4 linked regions of the Coturnix japonica genome follow. The protein of the gene in region 1 purifies or fractionates together with the protein of each later gene. This does not show direct contact. Links are inferred from orthologs where the notes say so. Each region holds a gene or a part of one and is shown in the gene's direction. Other genes may lie near its edges. The genes, in order: IFT43, WDR19, IFT140 and TULP3.

Region 1 (7,554 bases):
CACCATGGAAATTGGCAGAAGGTAGGAGAAGTTATGAGTAAAACAAGGACTCAAATATTTCAGGCCTGATTTGCCATTGAGAGCAACTGGTCTGGGGAGCTAATTATTATTATTTTTAATAGTTTGCAATGTTTTTGTTCTGTTTCCTGACACTCTGTGGCAGTCCTAAGGAGCATTGCCTGTGCCTAGAAATAGCACTCAGCACTCTGCAGTGAGAGCACTCATGCGGTTCCCTTTGCTGGAGGGGCTGGCAGGAGCCCCCAGAGCATTTCCACTTCTTCTGTCTGAAGTATTTTCAAAGTGCCTATAAAAATATTGGAGCCTTTAATTTCTTTTCGAAGGAACTTCTATGCGATTGCCTTCATGATGGTAATACAGAGTAGAGGCAGCGTTCTGCAAGGAGTTTGGGAATCTCTCCATGAAATTTAATGGCAGTGAGATAAAGCCAGCACTGGCAAATCCAGGACTCTTTGGAAACCTGCACAAAAGGAAAGTGCAGCACTAAGTTTATGGTATTCTCTAGTGCAAAAAGAAATAAACAGAAGCAAAAGCCTGGCAGGGTACCTCTGTGCAGTGCTTTGTTCCTCCTGTTGTATAGCCTCCACAGTCTGTTTCCTCCTTGGTCTTTGCTACTTATGTACAGGGACTTTCTCCCACATTGTCACTGGGCAGTTCTCTCCACAGGTCAGTCTGTCCACAGAGATGCTGTTACTCTGTGATTGCATCTTATTAGGAGCTTTACCCTGGGCTGGGAGCTCCTGCATAGAAGAGCCAGCAGGACAGCAGGTTCTCCTGGCTCTTGTCCCTACATGCAGAGTGGGGGCAGATATATCCTAAAGGTACAGGAACACGCTGGTGAGTCATTTCTTGCCCTCTAAGGGACATCCTGAGGGCCTGTTGCTGCAATTTTCCTTTATATGTCTTTGAGAAGTTTGCCGTAGTCAGAGAGCTGCTTTGCAGGCACCTGTTCCTCAGGCAGCTGGGGAGCTTGAAGGCACAGCTCTGCTGAGATCATCCAAGCTGTCACCTCCGCTCGCCTTGGCCTGGCTCTTGCTGCAGCCGCCATCCCACTCAGCCCTCCGCCAGGCAGCCAATTAGTGAGAAATCCCACTGTGTGGCCAGCACCGAACGACCGCCGCACTGAGGCCCGTGCTGACCCCTGTCCTCCCACAGCTGGGCCAGGGCTGCTCTAGCCCTAGCAGCTGGTAAGCCCCAGGGATGCTGAGGGGATGCTGGGCAGAGAGGGCAGCTGAGAGGCTGCGGAGCTCTGACAGGCAGCCGGACAAGGGGCTCTTCAGCAAGACCCTGCCCGGAGCCTTGGCCGCCACAGGTGGGGACATCTCTCCAGCTCCTGAATATTCATCTCAGCCTGGGCTGCAAAGCTAGGCAGAGTCAGGCCCAGCTGCCTGCTGTGCTGCTGGCAGAGGCAGGAGCAGCCTGCCTGCTCCAGCACTAGAGGGCCAGCTCTGATCCCACCTTGTGCTTGTGAAGCTTCTTCCCAGAGCCAACCACTGGCATCTCCGCCATCTGAGGACACAGCATCTCACAGGTTTTTAGCAGGATGCAGTGTGCTCCCAGTTTCTCCTGCTTTCCTCCATTTTCTTTTTTTCCCTCTAAGTACCCTTTGTAGGTGGAGTAACCATAATCATCATGCTGGGAATATCTAGTGACATCTATTGGCCATTCCGGGCTCACTCTGGAAAGACACGAAAACATTTATGACATTACAGCTTAGTGCATCCTCCCTCATCTTAGTGTCAGCTGGACCACCAGCACTTCCTCCTTCAGCCACGCGGAAGGTCACAGCCTCTGCTCAGTCTGCAACCCAGCCAGCAGCTCCTTCAGCATGCAGATTCATTCACATGGCTTCTGCCATTGTATGCTTCACACCTCATTTCTAGCAGATTCTGGGTGGCTGAGCGGAGCTGAGTAATGAACAACATATCTCATAGGAAGAAAATTCTTACCAGTCTTCAGATGACAGCCAGATTCTTTTGGCTTCGAGGTTGTCTTCAAATGCTGCTTTCTTTTACTACAGATATTCCTGTGATCCCTGACTTAGAGGAAGTCCAGGAGGAAGATCTGGCCATGCAAGTGGCAGCTCCCCCCAGGTAAGAGTGCTCTTGTGGCTCACATCGGCCATGTGAAATGTGCGGTGAAATTAAACTCCATCTTATCTCATGCCCTGTGGATGTCAGTGGCAGCACCATTCAGCAGGATTCGATGCTGCACATTGTGACAGTGGGGCTCCAGGCTGAACAGTGCAAATTTGTTTCCTGTTACATAGAGACAGCAATTAATGCATTTTCTCTCTGTATACACAAAATCTACATTAGAGCATCACTTTTGATATTGAAAAATCAAACTCTGAAAAGTTAGGTGTTGCTTGATTTAAGGTTGCCTGTGTGACAAATGCCTCCAGTACACGTGTATTATCACACACACTTTGATTGCACTCTGCTTCGCCCTCCACAGGATATCCTTTTCACTCAAGGGCTTAGTTAATTTGCAAAGCACAATACGATCTGTAGGTGTATCACAGTAGTCTTGGGATTAGCTCGTAGGAGACCATTTAGTAGTACATTTTAAAAACTGAAAGTGTTGGAGTTAATTTTCTTGATACTTTTAAGTCGTTACTCCTGTTGGATCTATTGCAAAGATCACAGAGTGGGATTTCTGTTGACCTTTGTTTGGATGACCACAGATGCCTTTCTTGCAAGTATGGAGTAGGTGTCGTAACTAAATAGCTGTTAATAAAAATAAATGACGTGTCATAGCAGTAAATTAAAAAAGATTTTGTCTCTCACCAGAGTTTGGTTTTTTGTTTTCTCTTTTTTGTATAATCCCATCTGTTCTCCCTGTATCGATAGTCACTCTGCAATAGAAGACAAATAATTTTCGTGGGCATACATAGAAGATAAATGAATACAAATGTTCCCTGTAGTACTGCGTAACATGCAAAGGGAAGTATGGCAGGGCAGTACGTTCCCCCCCTACCTCTGCTCATCTTTGGAGCCTACATTTTAAGAAATTGCATTTGATAGCTGAAATTCAGCTCAGAGATGGAAACTGCAAAGTCTTCACTGTTCTATAGTTTGCATTGTGGGACTCTTGAATGTGCTTTGCTTCCCAGATAGGAGTGGCATTTTGGCTGTTACCTGCTGAGTGTATCTGTATCTGGGCTGATTGCATGTTCATTGCCTTCCTGTTTTCTTTCTGGCCCTTGCATGTGGCTCACGGATCTTCTCTCTGGCATGCCAACTTCTCTGAAGGAGTCCCTGGTTGCTCCATATCCTATTTTTACACATGCGATCAGCCTGGCTCTCAGATTCGTCAGTGCCTCTTAATGTGCTGAATGAGATGTGCTTCTGTTCTTGGACAACCATTTCAATATCCTCATCATCCAGTGTGGATACTTGAGTTGTGTGTCCACACACTACTGCTTAAGTCACTGTGTGTCTCATCTGCTGTGCTTCCACACTTACCGGGGTTCTGTTTTGCCCGTTTCTGTTTGCAGTGTGCAGGTGAACAGAGTGATGACCTACCATGACTTGGACAAAGATCTTACAAAGTATGCTGCCTTTCAGACTCTGGTAAGTGGATGTTGGTGTGGAGTGACGGGTGTAAGTTCCTTTCCTTCCAGTTTTCCATTGTCCTCCACAGTGATACTCAGCTGCATAAAATACATTGCCCTGTCATGCAAGCACCTTCCAGTCTGCCTGCAAATATTTTCCTTTCAGCCTAATGAGCATCTGGAAATAGTGTGTGTGTATATAGTGCCTGTTGTTCATATGAGGAGGTACCTGCTGCTGTCCTGAAGAAGGTCTATGTCATGTATGGGGCAAAATGTTGTGTCTGTCTCTAGCAACATCCTCTCTGGTGAAATGATGGTGCCTGCTTTCTCTGTGTCTGTAAGACTGTGATTGTGTGTGTTCTTAGGATGGAGAGGTTGACCTGAAGCTTCTCACCAAAGTCTTGGCTCCAGAACATGAACTACGGGAGGTGAGTTAAAAGCTTCTTATGTCTCAGACTGTACTTAGAAAGTAAGCTTTTGTTGGTGGGGTGGAAGAAAGATACTTGAGGAGGAGCCTATGAAGAGGAGCTTGTTTTCAAGCTGATGGAGGTCTGATTTCCCCAGCAGATTATTTTAAAAGTTTGTAGGTATTTCTGTGTGTGAGATTACAGCATTGCTGTGACTGGCTTCCTTCAGTTTGAAAGAGTTAGTGAAGGGCCTAGTGCTGTCACAGATCCATGCACAAACTGCTGCTTTGTGTAGTTTTTGGTAGCCACCATGGGCTCCAGATGGTTCTGCAGAGTGCTACAGGGGAGCAAAGAAAACATTTAGGGTTAGGACAGAAGGCTGTTCTAAAGCAGGGCAGAAGAACCTCAGTACAAATGTATAAGCAGTAGCTCAGGACTTGAAACAAAAGATTTCTACATCCCAGAACAGCAGGTGCTTCATTAAAAGAGTGGAAGATTTTTATGTCTCCTTATGCCCTTCTTGGGAACACCTAAGGTTAACAGTGTGGGCTTTACTGAATTTGGAATGATTATTTCTTCCAAAATCTTTAAATTGTAACACAGATTCACATTCCGTTCTCTCTAAGTTTCCTATCCTAGTCAACAAAATCTGTGCCTTCCTCTCTGGCAGGGACATCATTCAGAGACCTCTGGGAGTTATCAGTTAAATTTTCAGCATGTTTGTCTTTTTCCTCTTGATAGGATGATGTCTGCTGGGATTGGGACCATCTCTTCACAGAGGTATCCTCAGAACTAGTAACTGAGTGGGACGTGGGACAGTCTGAGAGAGAGGACCACCTCAGTGTACCCTAGAGCACTGATACACCTGATATCTCTCATGTACACATTCCCTGTAAATAGTTTAGCACTTTAATTTTCTATTTACTTGTTTGTATTTGAGAATATATTTCAGACATGGAAATAAATAGAACTTGGTCTGTAGGAAAACTGGCTTGGGGGAAGTTTTGGATATTTTATACTAAGACTCTTCATTCTCAAAAGAGATTAAGAATTAGAAGCACAATATATTATTTACTTATGAACAGTCACTGTCACCTTACTTTAGCACCTTTACAGATAACTGCTATGGTCAGTCTCTCTGGGAAGACTGTCTTACACAGTCAAAGAATGGAGTGTGGTTTTCAGTGATGGCTGTGAGAGAAGCTTAGGTTGGTGCAGTTTGTTTGCCTAGAACATCAAGGTTATCATCTTCCCACAACAGATGCCACAAGTTGTCAGGATGTCTGCGTTACATCTTGTCCATCAGCCTCCTGCCATCCCTTGCTGGTTTAACATTTGCCCTGGGTCCTTACCTCTGTATTGCCTCAGAGGAAGCAGCATCACCAACTAAACTGCCACTACTGCTTCTTGCAGCACCTTTTGTTTTCCCTGGAGTTATCCCAGTCAAGGGCTGACCAAGCCTAACCCTGCTTAGCTTCAACAGTTAGATGAGATCACATATTGAATGGAATTAGCTCCAGGCAATAGGTGGTTTGCAAAGAAAATACTGCTCATTCCACATGTGAAAAAATGAAGCCTGCTGCTCTGAAACAAGCTAACTCCCTGGCGTGTTTCCTTGGAAGCAAGTAACCTGTTCTCATTGTCACCTAAAAAAAACTCCGTTTAGCTGTTAATGCCCTATCCCCATAGAGCTGTGGTCATTATTTGCAGGAAACAATAGTATTACTTCTAAGCCAGTGTCCTTCAAAGCCTTGTCCCACAGGAGAACCGTGCTATATACTTCTGGGGGACAGTGCAGGTGCTGTGCAGAAGGCTTGATGTGCTGCTTTTCTTAGCTTGTTCTTTAGATCTAATGGAGCACTGCATTCTTTCTTTTGTACTGATGCAAGTCCAGGAGAAACGACTCACTGTGAACTCAGTACTCTGCAAAATTTCTGATCAGAGTTGATAGCCAAAAAAAAAATCTACCAGCAAGAGAGAAGAAGCTGCCTCAATGAGATGCTATGTTTGTAAAATCAAGGAATCTCCCCCGTAACTAGAAAAGTAGATGAGATGGAAGCCTTGGGGCTAGTGTATGGAGGATACCGCTGAAGTCTCTTTCTGAGCAGAGAAACCTGTTTTGGTATGAACAGAAACTTCCCAGCTGGGCCAGTGTCTGTTCTTCTCTGATATCTGTGGCCCTTGGCCAAAGAGAATTTAGGATTCTTCCTATAGTCCAAGAAGGAGAAAACAAATTCAGCAAGCTTAGTAAATCAGACAATCCCAACAAGGCTGTGTGGGGAAGAGAATGGTAAAGAGTGGAAGAAATTGATTAGGCTTAGGGTTAGATTTGCACAGTTCACATCCCAAAGATCATAGAAAAAGCCGAGGCTCTCTTCTCTCAAATACAGTCTGTAGTCAGCTTAGTGTGAGCTCTCTCCATTCTGCTTGAGCTGAGTATCCTCTAAGCTGCTTGCCTGGTATCACGGTATTCAGTGCATGCCAGCCAGTTATCAATGACCACAAAAGCTGAGGATTCCCAGGCTTGAGGCACAAGAGTGGATGAGCTATGAATCCAACTAATCTGGCTGTCCAGCCTGAGGTTTGATATGTGACGTGTGTTGGAGTTTATTTAGGTACTTAGTGAGGTGGCATTACTGACAATTGGAGCTCTAAGAGAGGAAAACCAGGCATTATTTAGGCAGCCTGCAGGATGTGAGCTGTAGAGGCAGTGCTCAGCCCATTGCTCCTCATGAAGCTGTATGCCATGCCAACAGTCTTGTCTCTTGTCCAGGAGGGCAGAGCACTGTCTGCCTCTAAGGACTTCACCCATCTCCCTGGGTAGGTAAAGTGCTCCTGGCTGGCTGCCGTCCTAGCAGGGAGAAAGGACAGGCATCTCTGGTCTGGGCATCAGTGCTCAGCCCCTCAGAGACCGCGCTGGACCTTCAGGAGCCAAGAGGAAGGAGACCCTTGAAACAGAAGCGGAAGGGACATTGGATGCTCAGAGATCTTTCTGGAGATGGTGACAGGTAGGAGTGTGGAGGGCATGTGGACACCATTTAAGGCAGGGTGTGGGGAGGAGGGGACTTGATGTCACAGTGGGGTTTGTGGGAGGGGCAAGAGGAATGAGGAGGGTGAATGATTTGGGAACAGTATGTATAATGTTTGGAGGGACTGAGGGCAAAGCAGGTGCTGATGAAGAGGCTGGAGAAAAGGAAAGATGAGGTGCTTGGATGTGTAGTTTGACCTGCTATGAAACAGGCCATGGCAGATCTCGATGCGATGTGGCTGAGCTTCACCTGTCTTCTCCCTGGTTAGTTATCCCAGCAGACAACTGCCCTTGTGGTTCAAAATCTGCTTTATTTCTAAGCTCTGTTTTTGTTTCATCTTCTATTCCTTGCACCTGGTTATGCTTTCACCTTCCCTGTTAAACCATGCTGTCAGATACTTTCTACTTGCTCAGGTATTTATGTGCACTGTGAACAAGTAGTCTCTTTAATTTTCTTCAATAAAGTTAATAGAGTGAGACTTGTTTCCACATCTTTCCCATTCCCTCCCCAGCTGGAGGAAGGAAGGAGAGCTGTCTGGTTCTCG
Region 2 (7,161 bases), on another chromosome or scaffold:
CCTCTGTGCTTCCAAACACTGGCCAGGCATCAAAAGCACTGTAGAAGATCCCTGTTCAAGGTCAAAGAGCTTGAGCTCTTATTCACATGTGTATCTTCCTGCCAGGCACCCAGACAAAGCCGAGGCGGAGGAGCCAACAACAGCCTGTCCCTACTGTGCATTCCAGCTCCCAGAGTGCGAGCTCCTATGTCCCAGGTGTAAAAACAACTTGCCCTACTGCATCGCAACGGTGAGTCCCAATTCTACACTGGAAGAATGAACACAAAGCCGCTGCTTCTTTATTCCTATCTTCAGTTGGCTGCCAGAGTCAGGCCAAGGCTTGGCTGTTCTTTCCGAGCTGTTGGCAAGTCAGTGACACCCAGACCTCTGGGGCACTTCCCATGTTAAGTCCTGGGTCAGTTCTGGTTTTGGTGTTAGTGATCCTGACATAAATGAGAAGCCCCACTGTTTTTGTTTCAGGACTCCTTACAGCCTGTTGGAAAGGGCCGCAGTACATTGCCCAGTGAGAGGGCCATGCAGCTCACCTCCATAAAGTCCTAATGCTGCACTCAGCTCCTGTCCACAAACATTTGACTGATTGAAGGGATTTGTCACATTACAGAATAAGAACAGATTTTCTAAAGCAGGAAACAAACAACAGAGTTAGTGAACATGCTTTAATTTTAATATTAAAACTAAAGGATCATTCTTACAAAAAATAGTAATAGCTTTTTAAACTGTTTTTTCTCCACTGGCTTAGCAGAACACTGTGCTCTATGTGCATGCCTTTTCATTTCTGTTCCACGTATTTAAGCTGTCTCTTGGCTCTGGTTCCTTCACACCATCACACTCACTTACATCACCAGGACTGCAGCGTTTTTCTCATCATACCCTTGGAAAGCATCAAAACAATCCACTGCTGCCTAATGTGTTACAGCATAGATGTGTTAACAATGATGTACAACATTGATGTGTTAAACGCACATCAAGGCACTGTTGGGCTTTACAATGGTGACCATGGTACCTAACAACTTTCTGCATCAGAATCAAATGAGAAACCAAATAAGAAGAAAAAGAAGCTGTTTCAGCTCTCCTGCTGTGTTCACTGACTGACTGACAGCCGCAGCCCCTCGCTGCCATTTTTGAACCTTACGCACCACCAATAATCTCAGTACATTTACACCACTCTCTTTCTAAGCACTTCCCTACAGGGGCAGCGTAGAATTGCCCTGACTGAAATCATTTGTAAAGTGATAATTAATTTCATTCTTAAAGTTACAAAAATAAATACACGTCATAGGGAAAACCTTCTTTCCCAGTGAGAGCTTCTCTTCTAGTCACAGAATTTACACGGTAAGCAAAGTAACACTGTAACCATGTGGGTTTCTTCATTCGTTAACAGCTTTAGAACTCCATTGCTGAGACTTTTTCCACAGTAACTGAACTGCCAGGTGAAGCATTGGGGAGCGCCTGCCCTTGAATGACTGCTTCCTCTTGTGTGCAGGGCCGACACATGGTACAGGATGACTGGACCGTCTGCCCACACTGTGACTTTCCAGCCCTCTATTCAGAATTCAAGAAGTAAGCTGGGATTTTTTCTTCTATTGAAGGGTTGCAGCATTCGTTCCATCTAATATACATACTTATAGAGTGTCACTTCCAATTGAACCAGCCCAACAGCAGCCACCGGAATAGGAGTTTGCACCTGGCACTGGGTGCAGACTAACAAAGCATTCATCACTTAGAAACGCCCTGTGTTCCAGTGCCATCTGTGCTGGTTGTAGTCTGCTGCCTTTTCCTCATGCCCACTCAGCAGAGCAGCCTTACTTCTGGGGTTAGCAAATGGCTACAAAAACTAAACACACAACTCACCTTTTCCCCCCCCTAGACAGAAACAGCTGCTGCTCCAGCCTCTCTTACACTGTGTATGTTACTCTCAGGCCCAACCGTCCTTTGACCCGTTGCCCCTCTTGCTTTAAAACAGCATGTTACAGGTTGAAAACATCTGCCCAATGTGTTCTGAAAGAATCAACACCGCTCAGCTTAAGAAAATGAACGACTGCACACAGTACCTCAAACAAGATGACACGGATGGTTAAGTTCAGGTATGTGTTAGAACCTGCTTTTGCAGGGCTCTCTGGGTTGAGTTGCTGAGGGTGTGGGGTTTTTGTTTTATTCATTAGATATCAGGGCTCATTGGGGAAGGCTGCAGCAGTGTTTCCCAGCAAGGAAAGTTCAGTGTTGGAGAGTTTAACTTAACTTACAAAGCTGCATCTCGATCTCTCAGGTAGCTGAGGAGCAGATGTAACATTTACTTGCCCTTACGCATACAGGTTTTGCTTAACTTCATTTGCACCAACCAGGCCATGAATGTTCTCATATTCAACATCTGCTCTGTGCTTCCATTGCTTCAGTTTCTGTTAAACTTTGTAACTTTTTAGGTATTCTGTTCTGGCTTTGATTGCAGCTATAGAACTTAAAACATTTCAAATTGTGGAACAAAATCCCTCTCTGCTCTGCTTTGCTTTTCTATGGCTGTGGGGCCAGTTAAGAAAAAAAAACAGAGCCTGATAGATGCAGGAAGACAGAACACCCTGTGAGCTTAAGCAAAAATAAAAACCTCACGCGAAACACATTTTATTGTAATTCTATACACTGCTTAATTGCTATAATGTACAAATATGCAGATTAGGATTTGCTATTTACAAGATTTCAGTACATAATAACAGAGGATTTATTTAAAAAGTCATGTGAAGACGTGCATAAACACCAGGTAACCACGCATCCCATCTGCGCCGTGTCCATGCACCCTGCTTGTTGTACAGCACTAGTTACGGCTGTAACGCAGCACTGCCCAGTGTGAGAACGGGAGCTACGGCACCTCTGTCAGAGGAGCGTTTTCAACACACTGGTTCCACATCACCAGATCTGTGTCACGTTCCTGACAAGTTAAATAACCAAAGCTACAGACAGAGCAAGGTTATTCTGTTTAATGTCTTGTTTTCTCTTTTCTTTTACCTTCTTTTTTTGTTGTTTCTTCGTTTTTCTCTCTTTTTGGCAGCTTGGAAGACTTCATCTTTTTTTGCTACAAAGAGAGTACAGGGAGAGTTTAGAAATCCAGCAGTAACCTGGGGAAAGGCATAAGTCAAATGCAGTGAATTAAAAAGCAAAGGAAAAGAAAAGGGGAGTGGGGGGAAGAGCCTCTCCCCTTTCAGGAATCGCACTTTGAAGAGTGATGGAATACAGACTCTACAGCACTGTCACTTTTAGCAGCAGCTGCAGGGAAGTGCTGGCTGCTCTGTAAGGACGTGGCCAACACTTTTGTTATATACATTATTTAACACGTTATGGAGAGGTCTCACTGGTCCAACAGTCAAGCAGAAAAAAAACAAATGAAAATAAATGAGTATTTCTGATAGTACTGCTGGTCAAGAACTGACAAGGTGATGCATTCAGCATCTACTCTGGCTTTGGTTTTTGATTCTGATGTTACAAGTCCTAGAAAGTGAACATAGAAAGAAAAAAGTTCAGAGTGGTGGTGTAATACCAAGGAAGCCAAAGCACCTTGATCATGGCATCGCTTTCAACAGTATCCTGCTCGTCCTCATCAGACGGGGGCTCTTCCACTCCCAGTTCTTCATTCAGCTCAGAGGTCCCCATGGATCCTGGCTGCCGTCTGGACGTCTTCACAGAATGAAGGGAATATGGAGTCAGATGCGCCTCTTTGTTGTAGGCCCGTGTAAAAGCTGCTTTGACCTGTTAGGTGGGAAGGAAGCACAGAGCGTCAAATTAACTAACCAGTTTATTTGTGTATTTACAACTTCATTTTCAGCTGACCTGCAAATCTACAACTGGACAGAGCTGCAATCAGACATTCAACTCCAAAGTCTTTTCTTCACTAGACTTTTATAAGAAGACTTTGTATAAGAAGTTGTACCAGAGGAAACTGTCCCTCACTTGAGAAATCACGCCTTACTCCAATCAGTCATCTATTGTGGCACTACGTCATTTGTGAACAGCTGCCATCAAGGACGCAGTACGAGGAAGGGTAACATTCACCCAGCATCTGACAGACACACTGAGAGCTCACTGAGAATACATTCATTTCACTAAGATCAACTATCCCACTGGTTTTATGTTTTTGTTGTCCTTTTTTATCTTAATGTCTTAATAAAAATATTTTTACAAGTACAGTAAGTATTGTTACTTACATATGTTACCTGCATTATGTATTTTGCACGTGGCCAAGATGAGGCCTCTTCACTGGATGCAGCCCAAGGCACAGGGCTGGACACCCGCACTCATCCTACTTCTAAAACAAGTAAGGCTACATCCCTTAGCGGGCTGCCTTGCCGGATGAACTGCTATGGATTTCCGTGTTCAATTATATTAGAGTTAATAAGACGATGCATTTGCATCTTCAGCAGCATGTCCAAACCATAACTATCATTGTAAGATTTCCTTACAAAAGATGTGAGATAAGGAAAAAATTCAGTAGTGAATCTTACCTTGGGATCCAGCTTGGAAAAAGGGCTGGGTTTCCCTCCCCACATACTTATTTCCATTATGTTGTCAATGTCTTCTTTCATCAGGCAGTAAGAGTCCAGGAACGCTACAGCATCCTGTACACCATCTGCTCCAAAGTCCCGCAGTGGCCGGATGAATACATCGCGCAGATGGGACAAATATTCCACATTGACTGTCCTCTTGCACGCCTGGGTTCTTTGTCAGATTGAAAGTGAGAAGTTAATCTGTACAGCTCTACTCAGCTCTTTTCCAAACAGCCTCACTCAGCAAATAGATGCTCAGCTGCCTTAGGAGTTAACCACAAGCTGAGTTGTACCATTTATTTTGTCACACCTGCATAAGGGAAAACCTGGTGCAAAGTATCCAGCACTCAAAAACCAGAGTGTTTGGGGAAACACAACCCTAACTTAAAAAAGGAAGAAAAAGATCACAAACAGACGGTACCACCACCATATTAGAAGTGTCCTCAGTCTGACTGCTGTCCAGAACAGTGACGCAAAAGCATCACCAACAATCTATGAGGATATTCCTAGAATATACATTTAGGATTGTACCAAGGACAGCACAGCACTACTGGCAGGTAACGAGCTACAGAACGAGTTGTCTCTATTGATGCGCACCAAGTGTCAGTACTACCTGAGGCTCATGTGCATCGCCAGCTCTTGGATGATACGCTCGTGTTTGCCCGTGGATGAGAATTTCCCCAGCCAGCTGGGAAAGACGGGGAACTGGGACATGTAACCTCTCATCAGCTCCCCAGGAAGAACACTTGAATAAATAGCCTGAAAAAATAACACACACACACAAAACTTAGTTAGAACAGAATGGATTTAGTCTCAATGACACACACACGTGCTACCCGTTTCACTGAAAGCAGGTGAGTGAATACGGATAACCCCACAGCACCAACAGCTCAACTTAAGACAATGTGGGCTGCTTGTTGCTGTTTATCCCTTTTAGGTTACAGCTTCAGCTCCTGTACCACCCTGTGTGTTATCATGGGGTAAAATAGCTGCCAAGTGCTGAGTTGTTAAGAACCTTTTTTCTTTTTAAATGCTCTGTTTCCCCAGTGTGGGGTGCAGTCACACAGACAGCTGATGTCACACAAACAAGGACCATCATCTCCAGGTGGACACAGTACAGGAAACACATGAAAAGCACACGGCTGCTAACAGATTTATATTACAAAGCCATATAACCACAGTTAGGCAGAGGCCCCTTCCAACTTGTACAGTACATTTTCTGATGCCAGTCGTGGTCCTTTATGCACCAATAAAGACCAGTAACCTGGTGCCACACGAGTACTGACATCGCTTTAGATGTTCCCACAGTTTATAAAGCAGGTTCTAAGTTTTTTCAGTGCTTCAGAAGACTGTTCCATGATACAGCACGGGGTCATCTGTGTGCTCTATAGCAAGCTGCTCTACTCTATAATAGGTCATGAATGCACTGACATTATGAGGTTTGAGTCTCACACACTGCCCCCACACCGGGGTGCACATGAAATGAGAGCTGAGTTCTCACCTGTGTTGGTAGAAGGTTCCAGTTTTGCTTGGTACGAATCTGTTTGTCCACCAGATCACCATCACATATACTATCAGCAGCTCTACTCAAGAGCATCAAGTGTTTCTTCAGATCTCCTCTGGGGGGGAAAAAATTGATCTTAGTACACAGCAAAATATATACAAGCAGGTTTTAATCTTAACCTTCCTCCTCACAAAGTTCACCATGGATTCAGGGTCTGGAATAACTCACCCAGCAGCAGCAGGTTTCACATGCACATAGTTCTCCTGGACAAATAGGGGTGCTAGGGAATAGTCATGGAAGAAGAGACATTCGAGAAGCCTCCTCTCCAGCAGCAAAAACCTTCCGGACAACATCGAAAGGGCCCTAAAGGATAAAGGTATTTCAAGAAGTGGGTTGCAAGGCAAACAAACACTCAGCACACAGTCAAGAGAATCACTACAGCGACTGTACGCAGCAATATCTGGATTCAGCACCAGCTCAGTGTCCAGTACTGCACTTTTATATGTGCCTTTTCAGTGGTGCTTTGCCAGTTCTGAGAACTGAGTTCCAAGATTAAAAGAATCTCCTCCTAAAGACAGCAGTCAAAGTGAGAAGGCTGAGATGAAGTGAGCATCTTACTTATACGGCACGTCAAAACTTGCAAGTCAGTGCTGGATTATCTGCTGTCCCACTACTTGTGGCGAGACTGACGTGTACTCAAAACACTTGACAGCACCTCACACATTTAGGCTCTCAGTGCCTTCCTTCAGAAGATGCTTACAAAGCCCAGTATTGCTCTGGAACATCACAATAGCAGCCAGCCCATATTTTACACATACCAGTTTGATATCCTTTTTGGCTCTGCTGGCGTCTGCTTTGGCCTCATCGTAAGTCAATGATTTATCTTTTGCACACCACATATTGAGGTTATGCAAAACCTAGAAAACGAAAGTGACAATTTGGTAGCACAAAAACACTTAAAGACTTCAGAAGAAAAAAAAAAAGAAAGCCCAATCCCTACACCTAAATTCATTCTAGTGCTGAAATGGCACCGACCTGTCTGATGTCTTGATTTGCTGCCAGGATTATCTCATTCATAGCAGGTGGTGGAATCTTCAAACCCTCTTTAAACGCAATAGACATCATGGC
Region 3 (6,952 bases), on another chromosome or scaffold:
TGCTCTGGCCCTGGCTGCCATCAGTGTGTGACCTCAATCTGCTGCAGCATCTTGCTGTGGTGTCGGTATGATGTGATCTGTGCTGCTTCCCGACCTCCACCTGGTTGTGTGCTCTGTGGTGCTCAGCAGCTGTGTGTATACCTTTGTGTATCCATCCAGGGCCAGGCTGGATGTGGCTCTGGGCAGCCTGGGCTGCTGGTTGGTGACCTTGCACATGGCAGGGGGTTGGAAGCATCATGGGCCTTTTCAACCCAGGCCGTTCTGTGATTCTATGATGATTCTATGATAATGCATGTATATACCTTTATCAGAGCAGTGTCCTTTGTGTGAGGGACATGTCTATGGGTAATAACCAGCTTCTGCTGCAGCTGGACCAAGGCTAGTGATAGAAGTGTCTGTCTTTGTTCATCAAAGCCAGGTGACAGTATCTAATGTGACCTAAATGTCCCTTAAAGGTGCTTTTCCTGCTGTCCCCTGTTCTGGGTATAGGCAGTGGCTCGCTTAAAAGGAAAAAGAACAATTAGTGCTTTATGAAAATGAAAATGGCTCCATCTTGTGCTGGTGGAAATGGGCATTTCATGCTGCATGGAGGTGCATCGTAGGTTTACGCTCAGGATGTAGCACTGAATTTCCAGTTCTGACATTCCTGCGTTCTGTTTCCATGTTCCTTTTGGCATTTGTGTCTGGAAGGGACTCGGATATATCAGCACAGAACCTGAGGAGGCCATGTTTGAACTGCAGTCAGCATGTTTTTCCCTCCTGTACTGACTGGATGTGCTTGACAGCACGTTGCGTCTCATCTCCTTTTGCTGCTTCCCGGTTAGTCAGTTTCCCCTGTTTGTGCAGGTCTTTCCCACAGCCACTGGGAAGAGAAAAACATTTTAATCATAGGAAAACATGATTGTCAGCCCCCCACCCCCAAAGTGGAAGGGGATTTGTTTGCAGGTGCAGGACCTGAGGTGTCATTCCACTCTTCAAAAAAGAAGAAAAATAGAAAACTTTTTTTTTTTTTCCCTGCTTTCATCATCTGGGTCCTTAATTTGCGTCATGTTGGTGCCTGGGAGCTGCGTGGGCCTCCACTGAGCCCTATTTTGAATGCAAATGTTTTGTTAACCAAACATGTGGATCTTCAGCTCCAGTGCTACCTTTATGTCTGAGAACTGCTTCTATTCTCCTTAAATCTTCATGGAACAACCAGAGTCTGTTTATGTCTGATAAGTGTGGAACTTGCTAATGCATTGTCCTTTCTTGCTCCTTGCCTCTTACCTGCTCAATACCCACTCCTTGATGCTGATACCATAACAGCTCTCCCCTTCTTTCTGCTTTATCACAGTGAGGCTGTCTGGGAGAACATGGCTCGCATGTGTGTGAAGACTCAGAGACTTGATGTTGCCAAAATTTGCCTCGGAAACATGGGTCATGCCAGAGGAGCCAGAGCATTAAGGGAGGCAGAACAGGAACCTGAGCAGGAAGCCAGAGTGGCTGTGCTGGCAGTTCAGCTGGGCATGCTGGTAAGCCTGTCAATCATCTGCATCCTAGAACTAGGATCTATAGTTCTTAGTCCCAGGCAAATGAGGACAGAAATGGTGACACACCCCACAGTTCACAGATCACCAATTAGACACAAAGTGCTGTGACAGCAGAAAATCTGCTGGGGCCTCTGAGGAGACGCTGCATCCCGGGGCTGTGATGGCTTTCATCTGTGTGTTTGTTGCAGCTGCAGCTGGAACGTTGCCTTCCACCTCTTCTCATTACCAGAAAAAAATGTTGATGAACTGGAAGTTCAGAGAATCAGGGCAAACTGTTCAGCTCTTGGAAGGATTTTCAAGGCTGGAAGGGCTAGAATTCAGCAATCTGCAGCCATTTTAAGAGTCTAAATGCCAGAGAGGTAGTGGAACTATCCTTAATTAAAGTAAGAGGGGAAAAAGGGAACGTTTGAACTAGATGTTTGGAGAAGCTTCCTGGCAGAGGCAGCTGTGAGGCTGAGAAGTGGCAATGCTCCATCCTCTGGATACTGGCATCTGTTTGGAGAGGTGGAGGGGAGCTGTACAAGGCAGATGCTGCTCTGTGGGTTTATTCACTCGCAGTGCCAACAATTTCCATCTTCCCTTTCTATGCTTTTAGAATTTGAAAGAGACAGAAACTATTTTTCTATCCTGGACGGATAATCTCCATTTACTAAATATAGTGTTCATCTGGACAGCAGTTGGGTGGGGCAGGAAAATGCTCCTTCCACAGGAGAACCTCTCAAAAATAATAGTTCCAAATTTGCTTATCCTTGCGTCAATACAGGCAAAATCCTCCTGATCTGCTTCTGTCTGACATGAATAGTGTCATTGCCAGGACTGGCTCTCAGTTATCCGAGGAAGAGTTCCTACGTCTGAGACCTGCTCTGAGGTCCCTCCGACCTCACATCACTTCTGGGCTGTGTGGCCATTCAGTGCAGCCCCATACGAGGATACCTCCCCTTTCTGAAGTGATTCACGCTCGTGGTGACAGTGTTTAATTGTTGATGTCTTGCTTGTGTCACCCCCCGGTTGATACTGTACAGTAAATGCAGGATCTGAATGCTTTCCTTATTTTCACATAAACATCCTGCTTCCCAGTAACGTGCAATTCCAGGTTAAGTGTATTAGTTGGTTAACCCTCCTGCCTGAATTATTGTTACACTAATTGCATTACCTGCATAACTAAAATACTCATTAGTGCAGTGCCTGCTGTGACCTGCTTGGATGGACACCTATAAAACCAGTGGAGCCAACGAGCTGCTTGTATCCTCTCCTTTCAGGAGGATGCAGAGCAACTGTACAAGGCTTGCAAGCGCTACGACCTTCTGAATAAGTTCTATCAGGCCACAAACCAGTGGCAAAAAGCCATTGAAACAGCCGAGGCTCATGACCGGGTTCACCTGCGCACCACTTACTACAGCTACGCCAAGCACCTGGAGGCAGTGGGGGATCACGCTCTTGCACTCAGCCAGTAAGCATCAGCTTATGGCAGAACTGTGTTTGGGGGGGGGGATTTTTTAGACAATGAAGTGAGATTTAAGTCAGTCATTTCACATCTGATATGTTCTGTTTGTCCACAGCTATGAGAAGTCAGATACACACAGGTTTGAGGTACCCCGAATGCTGTCTGATGACCTACAGGCTCTGGAGAACTACGTCAACAAGATGAAAGACAAGTCAGTGCTGTGCTCATTCCTTCTGAGTGGGACTTTCAGGTTGAGATACAGGCTGTGAGGAGGGCAGGGAAGGAGAAGTAGTGATCCTCTCCTCTGAGTTCAACACTTGCCTAATGCCTTTTCATCCCCCCTCAGCTTTTCAGGATCATGGCACAATTCACTCAAAATTGCCATATTGGATATTTAGGTTGAGCTCATAGTGCAGGTCTTTGAATATCACCCTTGTGTTTAGGTAAAACCTGTCTACGTTCCAAGAAAATACATCTGGTCTTGAGTTCAAGATCTCCAGGGCTGAGAAATGCATTCTCTGGTAATTCCAGCTGCTGCAATTAATACTGTTGCTTTTCTAGGAGCCTGTGGAAATGGTGGGCACAATACCTGGAGAGCCAGTCAGATTTGGAATCTGCATTACAATACTATGCACTGGCTCAGGATTATTTTTCCCTAGTCCGTGTCCACTGTTTTCAGGGCAACATTCAGAAGGTAACGCAGCCTGCTGCCATTTGTTTGCAGAGTTCTCATTCCTAGGATGAGTTTGGTCACAGTGTAAAGATATGCCATTTCCTTTCCAGGCTGCTGAAATAGCAAATGAAACAGGAAACTGGGCGGCTTCGTACCACTTGGCCCGTCAGTACGAGAGTCAGGATGAAATCAAGCAGGCCGTGCACTTCTACACCAGGGCCCAGGCATTTAACAACGCCATTCGCCTGTGTAAGGTATGGAAAGACACACATTGCTACATCCAAACCTGAAGCAGGATTCTGCCCTTAGGCAGCGTACAGAGTGAAACAGGTACAAGAGATCCGTTCTCGTTCTCTTTGTGAGATATTGCTTGTTCATGAAGACGGTCCAGTTTCTGCCCACATCTTCTACAAGGATTGATCATTACAAGGGGTTGCATGGAACTGAGTATTTCCTTTTCCTACATGTCAACAGAAAACTGCCTAAAACAGTCACTGTTGCAGCTCAAAGCCCTAGGAGTTGCTATGGGTTTTCCATAGGAGGTGGTTGATGGGCTACTATGTGACAGCACAAAGCCGAAAGCTTGAAAGGAGGCAAGCTCGTCAGGTCAGTTTGCTGCAGACCTCAACCCAAATCTTTGCTTTTCAACAGGAGAACAATTTAGATGATCAGCTGATGAACCTGGCTCTCCTGAGCTCTCCAGAAGACATGATAGAGGCAGCCTGCTATTATGAGGAGAAGGGGGAGCAAATGGACCGAGCTGTCATGTTGTACCACAAGGTAAATGCCTCATTAGTAAGAATAGCAAACTTTAAACTGACGCTGTTTCTACGGCAGAGGAGCATTTAATTAACGGTGTGGTTTGATTATGTACAATTATCAGTCATTTCTTCACAGTAACACTCTGTGAACCCACACTGGGGTGTCTGGGAAATTCATTCTGCAATGCTTATTCCAGTCCTTAAAGCCTCGTCCTTAATTTTACAGGCAGGACACTTCTCCAAAGCACTGGAGCTGGCCTTTGCCACGCAGCAGTTTGGAGCCTTACAGCTCATTGCTGAAGACCTCGATGAGAAGTCAGACCCAGCTCTGCTGGCTCGCTGCTCTGATTTTTTTATTGAACATGCTCAGTATGAGAAGGCAGTGGAGCTGCTGCTCACAGCCAAAAAGGTGAGTTCTGCCTTCCTGCTCCCCGTGTGCACCAACAGAGAGGAGCACAACAGGTGTGCACATAAATACACTCACATCTCTCTTTGTTCATAAGCACCTACACAAAAACATTTGTAAGCTTTAAGGTTTCTTTTCAGAATGACAGGGTGGCAGCTAAGTTCTAAAAGTTACACCACAGACAACGTGACATCACACTGCAATGCATGCAACTGCTCATTGCTTTCTCATTTCCATTAGTACCATGAAGCTCTGCAGCTTTGCCTGAAGCAGAACCTGACCATCACAGAGGAGATGGCTGAGCGGATGACGGTCTGCAAGGACTCCAAGGACCTTTCTGAGGAGTCCCGGAGGGAACTCCTGGAGCAAATAGCAGATTGCTGCATGAGACAAGGCAACTACCACATGGCAACCAAGAAGTACACGCAAGCTGGAAACAAGTTAAAGGTCAGCTGGGAGAGGTAGAAAAAACAGCTAAAGAGGCTGAGCCACTTAACTCTATATGGTTTTTCCCCTAGAGTGGTTTGAGGGAGGTCTTGGAACAGTCAGTACATTGCCCAGATGAGGCTTTCCAACCATTTCAGCATCATTTGATTTTTGCATTCACAATATTTCCTCTCTCTGTCCTCCCACCCCCATCCACTGTTAGGCTATGAAGGCACTGCTGAGATCTGGAGACACAGAGAAAATCGTCTTCTTTGCGGGAGTCTCCAGACAGAGAGAGATTTACATCATGGCAGCCAACTACCTGCAGTCACTGGATTGGCGTAAAGACCCAGAGATTATGAAGAACATCATCAGCTTCTATACCAAAGGGAGAGCCCTGGATCTGTTGGCGGGATTCTATGATGTGTGCGCTCAGGTACAACCAGCTTCTGTGATCCCTCAAGGTGTTCAGTTGTTTGCTATGGACTAAGAGCCTCATCTGAATCTCTCTTCCTGCAGGTGGAAATTGATGAGTATCAGAATTATGAGAAAGCACAGGGAGCACTGACAGAAGCATATAAGTGTCTTTCAAAAGCAAAGACCAAAAGCCCTCTGGAACAGGAAAGCAAACTAGCACATCTGCAAAGCAAGATGGCCCTGATAAAGCGATTCATCCACGCTCGGAGGTGAGTTGCAGTGTTTGGAGCATGCAGACTAATGACAAAGATATCATGCACGAGGAAGACATTCACAGTTCAATAAATCACATGCAGAAGTCTCACTTCTATAAGTGTTTGTTATATTTTTGTAGCAGGGAACCACAGGTGATTTTAAAAGTGATGTTGGCTTTCGAGACCAAAGTATAGACTGAAATATGAGTAACTGTTGGCCTGGGAAGCACAGCCATCTTTTGTTGGATGATTCTGAGACATGCACAGCACAAAAATCCTTCCCGTGCTTCTCATGGCAAAACTAAATGTCCTCCAACATGTGATTTTTCTGTTTGCTCTTTTGCCAGGGTTTACTCTGAGGATCCCAAAGAAGCCATCAGACAGTGCGAACTGCTCCTGGCTGAACAGGACCTTGACAGCACCATCCGGCAGGGGGACATCCTGGGATTCCTGGTTGAACATTATTTACAGGTGCAGGAATTCCATGTGGTAAGTTACATTTCAGTTCTTACATGCTGAAGAGCCCAAACTTTATGTACACCTTTATGTACACCAGAACACTCTGTCAACTGAAGATCTCAGCCAGGCATTGAGGATGGAAGCTTGTCCCCCTTTTGCTGGGAGCTCTGGAAGCGCTGTAGGTGATTTCTGTGCTTTCCTTTAGGCTTACCAGTACCTGGAGCAGATGCGGAAGATAATTCCATGCACAAACCTGACTTACTACATCAAGCAGCAGACGATTGAGGCGGTTCACCGAGGAGCAGGCATTCCCATCAGCCAGGCCTTGGTTCCAGAGCAAAGTCAGTACAGCGATGTGGAGAACAAGGATGTGGAAGAAGAAGTGGTTGATGAAGTGGAAGGCCCCTGACACCTCACAACGGCAACACGACTGACCTGAGCGCTGCTCCTTTACTCTGTGCTCTTCAGGGCTCACAGATCAGGCAGCTGCTGCCACAAACTTTTTGGTTATTACCAAGACATTTATTTTTTTCTGCTTGACTCTACAAGCAACAGTGTCCAAGTGGTGGATGATTTTAAACGC
Region 4 (8,114 bases), on another chromosome or scaffold:
CTGAGACTGTGAGGCTCCAACCCTACAGCCAGGTTTGACTCTTCTGTGGTTTGACTCTTCATCGCTGTGTGTTACCGGGAGGAAAGCGTGGCTCCAGCTGCCTTCACAGAGACCTCCAAGAGCATCTGGACTTCACTGGTTGGTGGATAATAAGGTTGTGTCTCTAAATCTTCTGGCATGTTAAGGGGGCTGGTCAGTTGTTTTGATAATATGTAGCAAGCGGTTATTATGTAGCTTTATATATTGAATAAGAAAATGTACTTCTTGCATGGTATTTTCTCACCAGTGTCAATCTGCTTCTACATGGAAAAATATCCTCGTACCATGAATATGCATGTATTCCCCTGATAAATAGAGATGTTTACCTCCTTTTGGTGTGCAGGCTAGGAAGGAGTTAACCCCCTGCACCCAGCCAGCCAAGTAACACGTACCTGCTCTACAACTACTTTGTGTTATAAAGTTTGTTATGCAACTCAGTGTGGCTGTTTACCATCACATGTTTGGTTGTGCCTTCATGAAGCTTTGAAGCACTTAATTACTCATTCTACTATATATATATATATATATATATATATGCTAAATCTGCCTGGAATCTGATAAAAGATATAAAAACTACTGGTAGGTAACAGTCTATATGGAGATCTGCATGTTATTGTACTAGTGTTTTGTTCAAAGTCTTTATCTGAGGTTTCTAAATAATTGTTCAAGTCCATTTCCTTTTATTTATTTTCTACAGATTTGAGGGTGCTTGAGCATCAAAGTGCTTTCCTCCTCCTCCAATTGGTACTAGTGAGCATCATGAGGTTTCAAAGCGGTTTTATCTTATTGTCTGATGCCTCCCAAAAAGAACCGTACCCGGAAGACTAGAAAGGCAGAGCTGGTATTCATTGAGAGTCAGTGGGAGGCACCCATCCGTTGCTGTGAAACTCCACTGTGTGTGGCTGAAAATCCAGTATGTGTTTCTACAAAGCCTGTAGACCACAACACCTTTGCTGCCTGGGTTGGTATACGTTATCAGTTTCTCTGTGTCTTGCAAAAACAGGTTTTTAAGTTTCTCTCACATCTCAACAGAAAGTTTTGTATCCTGATAATGAAAATCAACAGCATGGACCTGAATTCATTATAGATGCCTAAAGCATAAATAAGTGCATATGAGTTTTTTTATGTTCAAATATAAAAAATAAAATCCTGGGTATTTGAAGGCATAAAACTATAGTGTATACAGACTGTGGTTTCTATTTGTCTTCTGAAAATCTAATTCTGGTGAGGAAGAAGCTTTCTTTCTATGGCAATTGAAAGATTTACCATGTAATTTTTATATATAGGTAAGTTAGTGCTATGGCTTCTGAAATGCTGCATGAAAGAATTGCTGTGATAAAGTGTGCTTTTTGTTTGGAAGAGCTTCAAATAACCACGTTGTCCTTTGTTCTAAATATCCAGTGATTTCTCTGAAGTCAATAGCACTGAAGCTATTAGATGTTAGAACATACTGGTAGGTTTACAACTCCCTGAACTGTTCTCTATGGATGGATATCACTTGGTTTCACTGGCAACTGAGTTCCTACTCAGATTGAGGTTTCTGCTCTTTCAGACCCTCTTGACTGTTAGGCTCCTGGTAAAGCCTATGTGCTATGTTCTCTGAAAAGGAAGTCCAGGTCAGTTGTTCACTTGTGTACAGTTTGTGCTAGGATACAATTACTGGAAACATGAGCCATGATTGTCTAAAGAATGGCTTTGGTTCAGTCAGTTCAGGTGTACAGTATATAGTCAGTACCCATAATTAGCTTGCACTTAGTTTTTGAGGGAATGTGTAGAAACCTGAGAAGGCTAAAAGGGGTTTGTGGTTGTCATAATGATATCCAGGTTGGGATGCTCTAGGACTGTTTTGACTGACTTTTGAAACCCCAGAAGATAAAGACTACTGTAAAAAGAAGGATTTGCAAGTCTTGAGTAAGTGCCCAAAGTCTTTCAATGAAGTATAGGTTATTGAGCTTTGACAGAAAGCTGATTTTAGTAGAATTGACTTTGTGGTCATCTGTTAATCTTTGTGTTGTAGAGTAACTGTTTGAGGAAAGCATGTTTTGGGGGAATATTTTGAAGGCCTAATGAACATTATCTTCATATTACTCCCATTTGTAGCTATAGTTGCTCAGGAATATTTGGGCCATAATAGTTCACTTGTACTCCACTCGCTTATCAAAGTGATAGAACAGAACTTTGAAGTTCAGAGGTGTTTCCTGCTTACCAGCTTGGATAACAACTAGTTTGCTTTGCTGCAGGCCAGCTTACCCATTTAATCAACACACTGAGGAAAGATGGGATGGGTGGGGGAGTAGAATAAGGTTGGTGTTCCTCTGGAGAAAAATACCATTTTGGTTTTTTGTTTTTTTTTTTTTCTTCTTATGTCTTCAGGTGTGCCCCCAATTTGAAACAACTAAGTCATTGGTTCTGAGAGTGTGTCAGAAGAAGCAACGTGGTTCTCACAAGCCTCAGAATCAGGATGCCAGCTCTGGCTTGCTTCATGCAGAGAGAGCTTGTCGGAGATCTGTGGCCTGCAAATTTCCTCCTTTAAATTTTGAGAATTCAGAAGAACGTGCAGTCCGCTCCACGGATGTGCTGAGTCACGCAGGAAAGAACACACAGCATTCTCACGGCCAGTGCAAGAAAGGGATAGGATCAAAAGCCAACATCCAGGTGAATGGTACTGAGAACTATAGTGAAACACCATCATTACCTGTTTCTCAGCCTACAGAGCCAGAAGTCTTCAGTCCACTAGATATGGGGATGCCACAGTTGCCTTCTTTAAAGAACTGGACAGGTAGCAGCGTTCTGCCACAAAGCAGTAGTTGTGCTGAGTTGGTGTCCAGTGTCAACCACTGTGGGAGCGAGCAATTGGCAGCAACACTGGTTACGGATACTCCTGAGCGTGACTATGGAATAAAGGTGACCTGGAGACATCGGCCTCATCTCCTTAAGTACCTGAGAGACAGAGGGAAGCTGAGCACTGCTGACATACTGGTGAAGGCAGACCTTGAACTCAAGAAGCCAGGCTGACTTTTGGTTTGGCAAAACAGCCATTTCACACACAATATAAATATGGTCTAATACAAACACAGAAAGTCCTTGAAAAGAGCAAAGAGGGGTAATAAACGAAGCCATACATTGTGCTGGGGCATCTTAGTTCTATTGGGAAGTGGTAGCGACGCGTAGGATGCACTTTATTCTCAGGGGGGGAGTGGTGTGATTTTACTTTTGACTGAGCTTCCTCGCAGGGGCTGTGGGAGGGCGGTAAGTGCAATAAGCCTCCACATCCACCCGCCATGATAACTGTGGAGGCGGGGCTCGGCGCTGACCTGGCTGCCTCTATGCGCATGTTCGGCTCGAGTTCTCAGCTGAGGGGAGCAGCGGCCCGCTTGGGCCAATGGCGCAGGGCCGGAGTTACGAGTTCCGTCTCCAAGGGTAGCGGTGAGATCGAAACCAGGTCCCGTAGTAAAGGCGGGGCTGAAGATGGAGGGTGCCAGGAGCCGATGCGCGATCGGTGGGGGCAGGTGAGTGGGGCCCAGCGGGGCAGGGAGGTTGCGAAGCGATTTGCGGCGAGTCCCTCCTCAGGCTGACCCTGAGCCTCGGTTTCCCTACCACGGTTCCAGACTTTGATTGAAGCAGCGTCTTCGGGAGCGAAACGACTGTGGAGGCTTTTTTTGTGTGTTACCTCGTGCTTCTAATCATAATTAAGCATTTGGGATGTGAAAACGGTAGCGAGCTCTTAGGCCACTGCATGTGGGGGGTGGGGGGAACGCAACTGATGGGAACTTAACTGACGTAATGGGAAAAGCACGTTAAGTTTGGGAGAGAGATTTTGGGAAGAGATTCTGCCCGTGGGTTTGAATAGCTGAAACCACAAATGACTGAGAATTCAGTGTGATGTACAGTGAAGAGAGATTTTGGTGATTAATGTGATGAATGATTTTGGAAATGCAGGAAAAGAACTGTTTTCTATCCAAGCATCAGAGGGTACGTGATGGGAATGCCAGTAAAGAGAGAAACAAAGAATTGTGTAACGTTTCTTGGTTGCAGTGATGAATGTAAGAATACTAAAATGCACAAACCTGAATAAATGTACGTAATTCCTAAGTAGATTTTTAAGACCATTAAGTAGATTCTTAAGACCATTTGTAGAGTCTTAAGAAAGCTATATGTGAGAATCAGATGGTCAGTATATATGTATTTTTTCTTTCTGAAATGAAATTTTCTTGCTATTCAGCGATATGTAATAGATATTGAGACATAAATAATTTTATTTGATGGACAGGCAGGTGAGATTTTGGGTTAAGGCCATTTCTAAGTAGGCTCTAATACTGTGGTGTTGTATTAACTTCTTCTCTGCCAATGTTATCTTTCATTTACGATGGCTGTAATTAAAGTAGCTTGAGATCATATTGAAGTCTGACATTCATCTAGATTTTCTTTAAGCACTAAGGTGCATCATTATGTTTATAGTGTTATTTCATTACTTTGATAAATGCTACGTGTTTCCTTTTCATTTGGGACAGTCTGACATTAAAAGTGTTGGATAGTGGTGTATGATGGGCAGCAGAGTTCAATTGGTTTGTGGTATTGGGTCATAGTCAGTTATCCCCACGGTTCCCTTCCACTCCTGGATATTGTATTGTTTGATGTCTTTATAGTATGAGAAAGCTCTCTGTTGGTAGACTTGGACTGGGATTGCTTCAGTCTCTCAATGGGACACAGTTGGACAGTCTACACAGTTATATTGTTGATTGTGTTGTAATTGGGTCATGGTATGAATGCTCCTGTGAATGCATTTGCTGACATGCCTAGAAGTGTTTTCTTAGTCCACTGCAAGAACTTTTATCCATACTTCTGTTGTTTAAAACATAAAATCGATGGGATGTCATCCAAAAGCTTGTGTCTCATCGTTCATACTCCCCATTCCCATTAAATATTCTTATGTGAAATTCCAGGCAAAAATAGAACAAGAATCTGGATTTACTAACTGCATATCCTAGTTCAGGATGGAAATCACATTTTGCTGTTTCATTCTTATCAATAGCTTCCCATTCAAACTTCTAAAAAACAAAACAAAAAAAGCTGGATATAGACTGAAACTGAAACTCCACACTGAGCTCTAGAATGTTAATTCATATATATTTTTTCATTTATTTCCTTCATTTTTAGTTAGACATACTATAAAAACAAGTGCAGTTCGGCATGAAGAGCGATAAACTTCATAGAAGTTTTGCTGTCTACCTGAGTTAGTGATTTTGTGCCATTTAACTGGTTTAATTTCTGTTTATCTTGTGGTCTCCAGAACCCAAACAGGCACAATCACAGAGACAGCAAAGGTTTGAAGGAGCCTCTGGACATCATCTCGTCCAACCCTGCTGCTCCATAGGGTCAGCTGGAACAGGTTGCATAGGGGGATGTCTGCTCAGTTGTTGAGTATCTCTACAAAAGGTTATTCCACAGCCTTGATATGCAGTTTGTTCCAATGTTGACTGACCCACAATAAAAAAGCATTTTCTTGTGTTTTTTTTATGTTTTAAACTGTGCCCGCTGTCTCTCTTTCTGACAGTAGGCACTAGTGGTTCCATCTTTATGCCTTGTCATGGGGTGTTTATATACCTTGTTCAGCCTGCAGCAGAGATGGTTCCATGAAGATCTTACCACTCTCAGCTCTCTGAACTCATATGAGAGATGCTCCAGTCGCTCAGTAATCTCTGTGACCCTTTGCTGGACTTGCATATTTTCCTGGGGGCCCAATAGTGGCCACAGCATTGGCTAATAATAATAATACATCATAATTTGTAGCAAAAGCCTTTGAGTAATGAAAGCTTTTTGCTTACAAAATGTTTTCAGAGAATTTTAGTTCAGTGACTGAATCACCGGTCCTGTTTGTGACAGAAAATGAAGTATGTTTCTTTCATAATGCCTTATTACTTGGTCTTCCCATGGGCTAGAAATAGTGTTTTACAGTTGGAGCCTTGACAACTATGTTGCAGTCTGTGGATGTCGTGTTTTTATATAATGCAAACTAATTTCTGGTAATAATTTTTTGTCTCTTGCCTTTTCCAGCATCTTTGAGGATGAAGGCATGAAACTACGACAGCTGAAACTAGAGAATCAGGTCAGTGGTTGTGCATTAACTGGCAAAAATAAATGAAGGAAAACAAACATTAGCCATCTTATTTTAGAAAGGAAAGTTAAAGTGCTTGTTTTCCCTTTCTTTCCCTTCTTCTCCATTCCCATTTTTCCTCTTGATTACCTGTCCTCTTTTCATTTACTTCATAATTTGTTGCTCAGAACTACATAAGGTATACAGCAATCACGAATATAGGCCACACTGTTCAGTTTCTGTTGTGATATTCAAGGCTGCAGGTGGATTCACAGTGTCACAGAGGCTTGAGAAGTGTGGAAGTGATTAAAAATGGTCTGAAGAATACAAGCAGAACCGATTGCTAATGTTTTTCGTTTAAGTTCTGCCTGACTCTTGTTAGATAGCTTGTATTTATTGTATTTATTGTATTTATTGTGAAATCAATAAAGTGTACATCCTCTAAAATTTCAAGTGCTTATTTAAAAGTTAGAAATTATGGGATAATTATAATTATCTAGCTGTCCATTTCACGTGGAATGGAGTTCACTGAATTACGTTATAGATTAAATTCATGAAGGTAGAACATGAAGCTGTGTTGAAATTAAAGTATAGTTTTTAGAAATTCTGTCTCTCATCTGAGGATCTTTTAAGTTAAGACATAACACTTTTCAGGGAACTGATGCATCAGTTAATAACCCTCTTTACCAAAACTTGTTTGTTATTTCTAGTCTGAGCTTATATTGCGCTGAGTCTAGACAGATTCATTATTGTCTTGACCTCCGTGCTTATATGGACACTTATTTAACGCACTTCAGAGTTAAATAACTATCTTTTACACAAGTAGCACCATGCTTTGTGAAACAATAAAGGTCAATAGCAGATCACAGCCAGACATAATGGCTTCATTACTGTTTGTAGCAGATACCACGCTTAAGAAATTTCTCCTAAACATTTAGAGGAACTGAGGTAAAAATTGCAGAATGTCTTTGTGAAATACAACAGGATTGTGTTCAGCATCTTTGAGCACATGGAGAATCTAGAGTAAGCCTTTGATGTATCAAGGGCTTGTGTCTCTCATCCATCGTTATGATGGATTTCAAACCATATAATTTTAGTTAAGTATTGTTTATAATCTGTGGGTCACATCTGTCTGCCCCAAAGCTTTTGCCTATTGTACTTCCTTGAGAAGAGTGTGGATGGCTTCTCAGGCAGTGCTTAGTTCCTCGGCAGTAGAACAGTATCTTTTGAGGTACCTGTAGCTCAACCTGTACTGCTGCTATCTCTCTGTGGATGGAGAAGGTAAAAACTGAAGGCTTGTTTCTGAATGCATTTAATACAATATTAGTCTTGACACTGAAGTTTTATTAATGCCATAATCACTTGCATTTGTCCCCGCCATCTTACTGTGAACTAAAGAGGAGCTGAAAGAAAAGGAGCCTCAGAAATCCATGCCTTGTGGTCTACTAAGGTAGACTACATCAAGTAATAAATAGTGCATTGCACCTTCAAGAAGAGTGATTGAAGCCTTGTTGTGCACCATCTTCTTGTTCATTACAGTGATAGGAAGAATGATGTGGAATACCAACAGCAAAAATTACAAAACCTGTTATTTAATGAGTTTTTAATGAGTTAAACGTTCTTGTGTCATGTGATTTTTTTTTATTATTTTTTTTTGTAATTCTATGTGAAATTTTACTGTGACACGGGGCTGGAGAAAAATGTGGTTAGTAGATGGAAGCGTGTTTTTTTAAACTTGCCCTTAGTGGAACAAGTCTAAGGACATGCTGTGCTGAAGGTAAGGCTGCTGTGCCACCTTGTGTAAAGAGAAAGAGTTGCGACCAACCATCACACCCATGAGCTTGTAAATTTTCTTCTTAATAAACAAAGCTTTGGAGAGAAACCTAATGACTGTCAAGTTTCATCACTTTGGTTACCTTTAAGTTCTTGTGAAAAAGTTTGTCATATTCACTAGCAGTGAAGTATGTTTTAATATGCTTTA

Evidence for each region.
Region 2: the proteins of IFT43 (region 1) and WDR19 purify together in Homo sapiens (affinity purification with mass spectrometry; 3 studies listed by BioGRID and IntAct, counting the BioPlex papers as one, with this or other methods). This does not show direct contact. The link is inferred for Coturnix japonica from reciprocal best matches to the Homo sapiens genes IFT43 and WDR19.
Region 3: the proteins of IFT43 (region 1) and IFT140 purify together in Homo sapiens (affinity purification with mass spectrometry; 3 studies listed by BioGRID and IntAct, counting the BioPlex papers as one, with this or other methods). This does not show direct contact. The link is inferred for Coturnix japonica from reciprocal best matches to the Homo sapiens genes IFT43 and IFT140.
Region 4: the proteins of IFT43 (region 1) and TULP3 purify together in Homo sapiens (affinity purification with mass spectrometry; 5 studies listed by BioGRID and IntAct, counting the BioPlex papers as one, with this or other methods). This does not show direct contact. The link is inferred for Coturnix japonica from reciprocal best matches to the Homo sapiens genes IFT43 and TULP3.

What each region holds. Positions count from the first base shown.
Region 1 is NC_029520.1:34,928,386-34,935,939, forward strand, and holds the end of IFT43 (intraflagellar transport protein 43 homolog), read left to right. Parts: intron 1-2,038; coding exon 2,039-2,111; intron 2,112-3,517; coding exon 3,518-3,593; intron 3,594-3,939; coding exon 3,940-4,002; intron 4,003-4,722; coding exon 4,723-4,833; 3' UTR 4,834-7,486; downstream 7,487-7,554. UniProt on the Homo sapiens protein: As a component of IFT complex A (IFT-A), a complex required for retrograde ciliary transport and entry into cilia of G protein-coupled receptors (GPCRs), it is involved in ciliogenesis.
Region 2 is NC_029519.1:62,618,871-62,626,031, reverse strand, and holds the end of WDR19 (WD repeat-containing protein 19), read left to right. Parts: intron 1-105; coding exon 106-229; intron 230-642; exon of another isoform or gene 643-1,483; coding exon 1,484-1,560; exon of another isoform or gene 1,561-1,963; coding exon 1,964-2,078; 3' UTR 2,079-2,084; exon of another isoform or gene 2,085-2,968; coding exon of another isoform or gene 2,969-3,064; exon of another isoform or gene 3,065-3,543; coding exon of another isoform or gene 3,544-3,735; intron 3,736-3,811; 3' UTR 3,812-4,172; downstream 4,173-7,161. UniProt on the Homo sapiens protein: As component of the IFT complex A (IFT-A), a complex required for retrograde ciliary transport and entry into cilia of G protein-coupled receptors (GPCRs), it is involved in cilia function and/or assembly.
Region 3 is NC_029529.1:11,985,724-11,992,675, forward strand, and holds part of IFT140 (intraflagellar transport protein 140 homolog), read left to right. Parts: intron 1-1,333; coding exon 1,334-1,511; intron 1,512-2,788; coding exon 2,789-2,979; intron 2,980-3,088; coding exon 3,089-3,184; intron 3,185-3,534; coding exon 3,535-3,667; intron 3,668-3,756; coding exon 3,757-3,900; intron 3,901-4,297; coding exon 4,298-4,426; intron 4,427-4,633; coding exon 4,634-4,816; intron 4,817-5,053; coding exon 5,054-5,260; intron 5,261-5,462; coding exon 5,463-5,675; intron 5,676-5,758; coding exon 5,759-5,925; intron 5,926-6,257; coding exon 6,258-6,399; intron 6,400-6,574; coding exon 6,575-6,778; 3' UTR 6,779-6,952. UniProt on the Homo sapiens protein: Component of the IFT complex A (IFT-A), a complex required for retrograde ciliary transport and entry into cilia of G protein-coupled receptors (GPCRs).
Region 4 is NC_029516.1:68,387,510-68,395,623, reverse strand, and holds the start of TULP3 (tubby-related protein 3), read left to right. Parts: upstream 1-3,289; 5' UTR 3,290-3,507; coding exon 3,508-3,548; intron 3,549-6,093; coding exon 6,094-6,145; intron 6,146-8,114. Other genes in the region: RHNO1 (RAD9, HUS1, RAD1-interacting nuclear orphan protein 1), read left to right, coding at 833-1,000, 2,413-3,054. UniProt on the Homo sapiens protein: Negative regulator of the Shh signaling transduction pathway: recruited to primary cilia via association with the IFT complex A (IFT-A) and is required for recruitment of G protein-coupled receptor GPR161 to cilia, a promoter of PKA-dependent basal repression machinery in Shh signaling.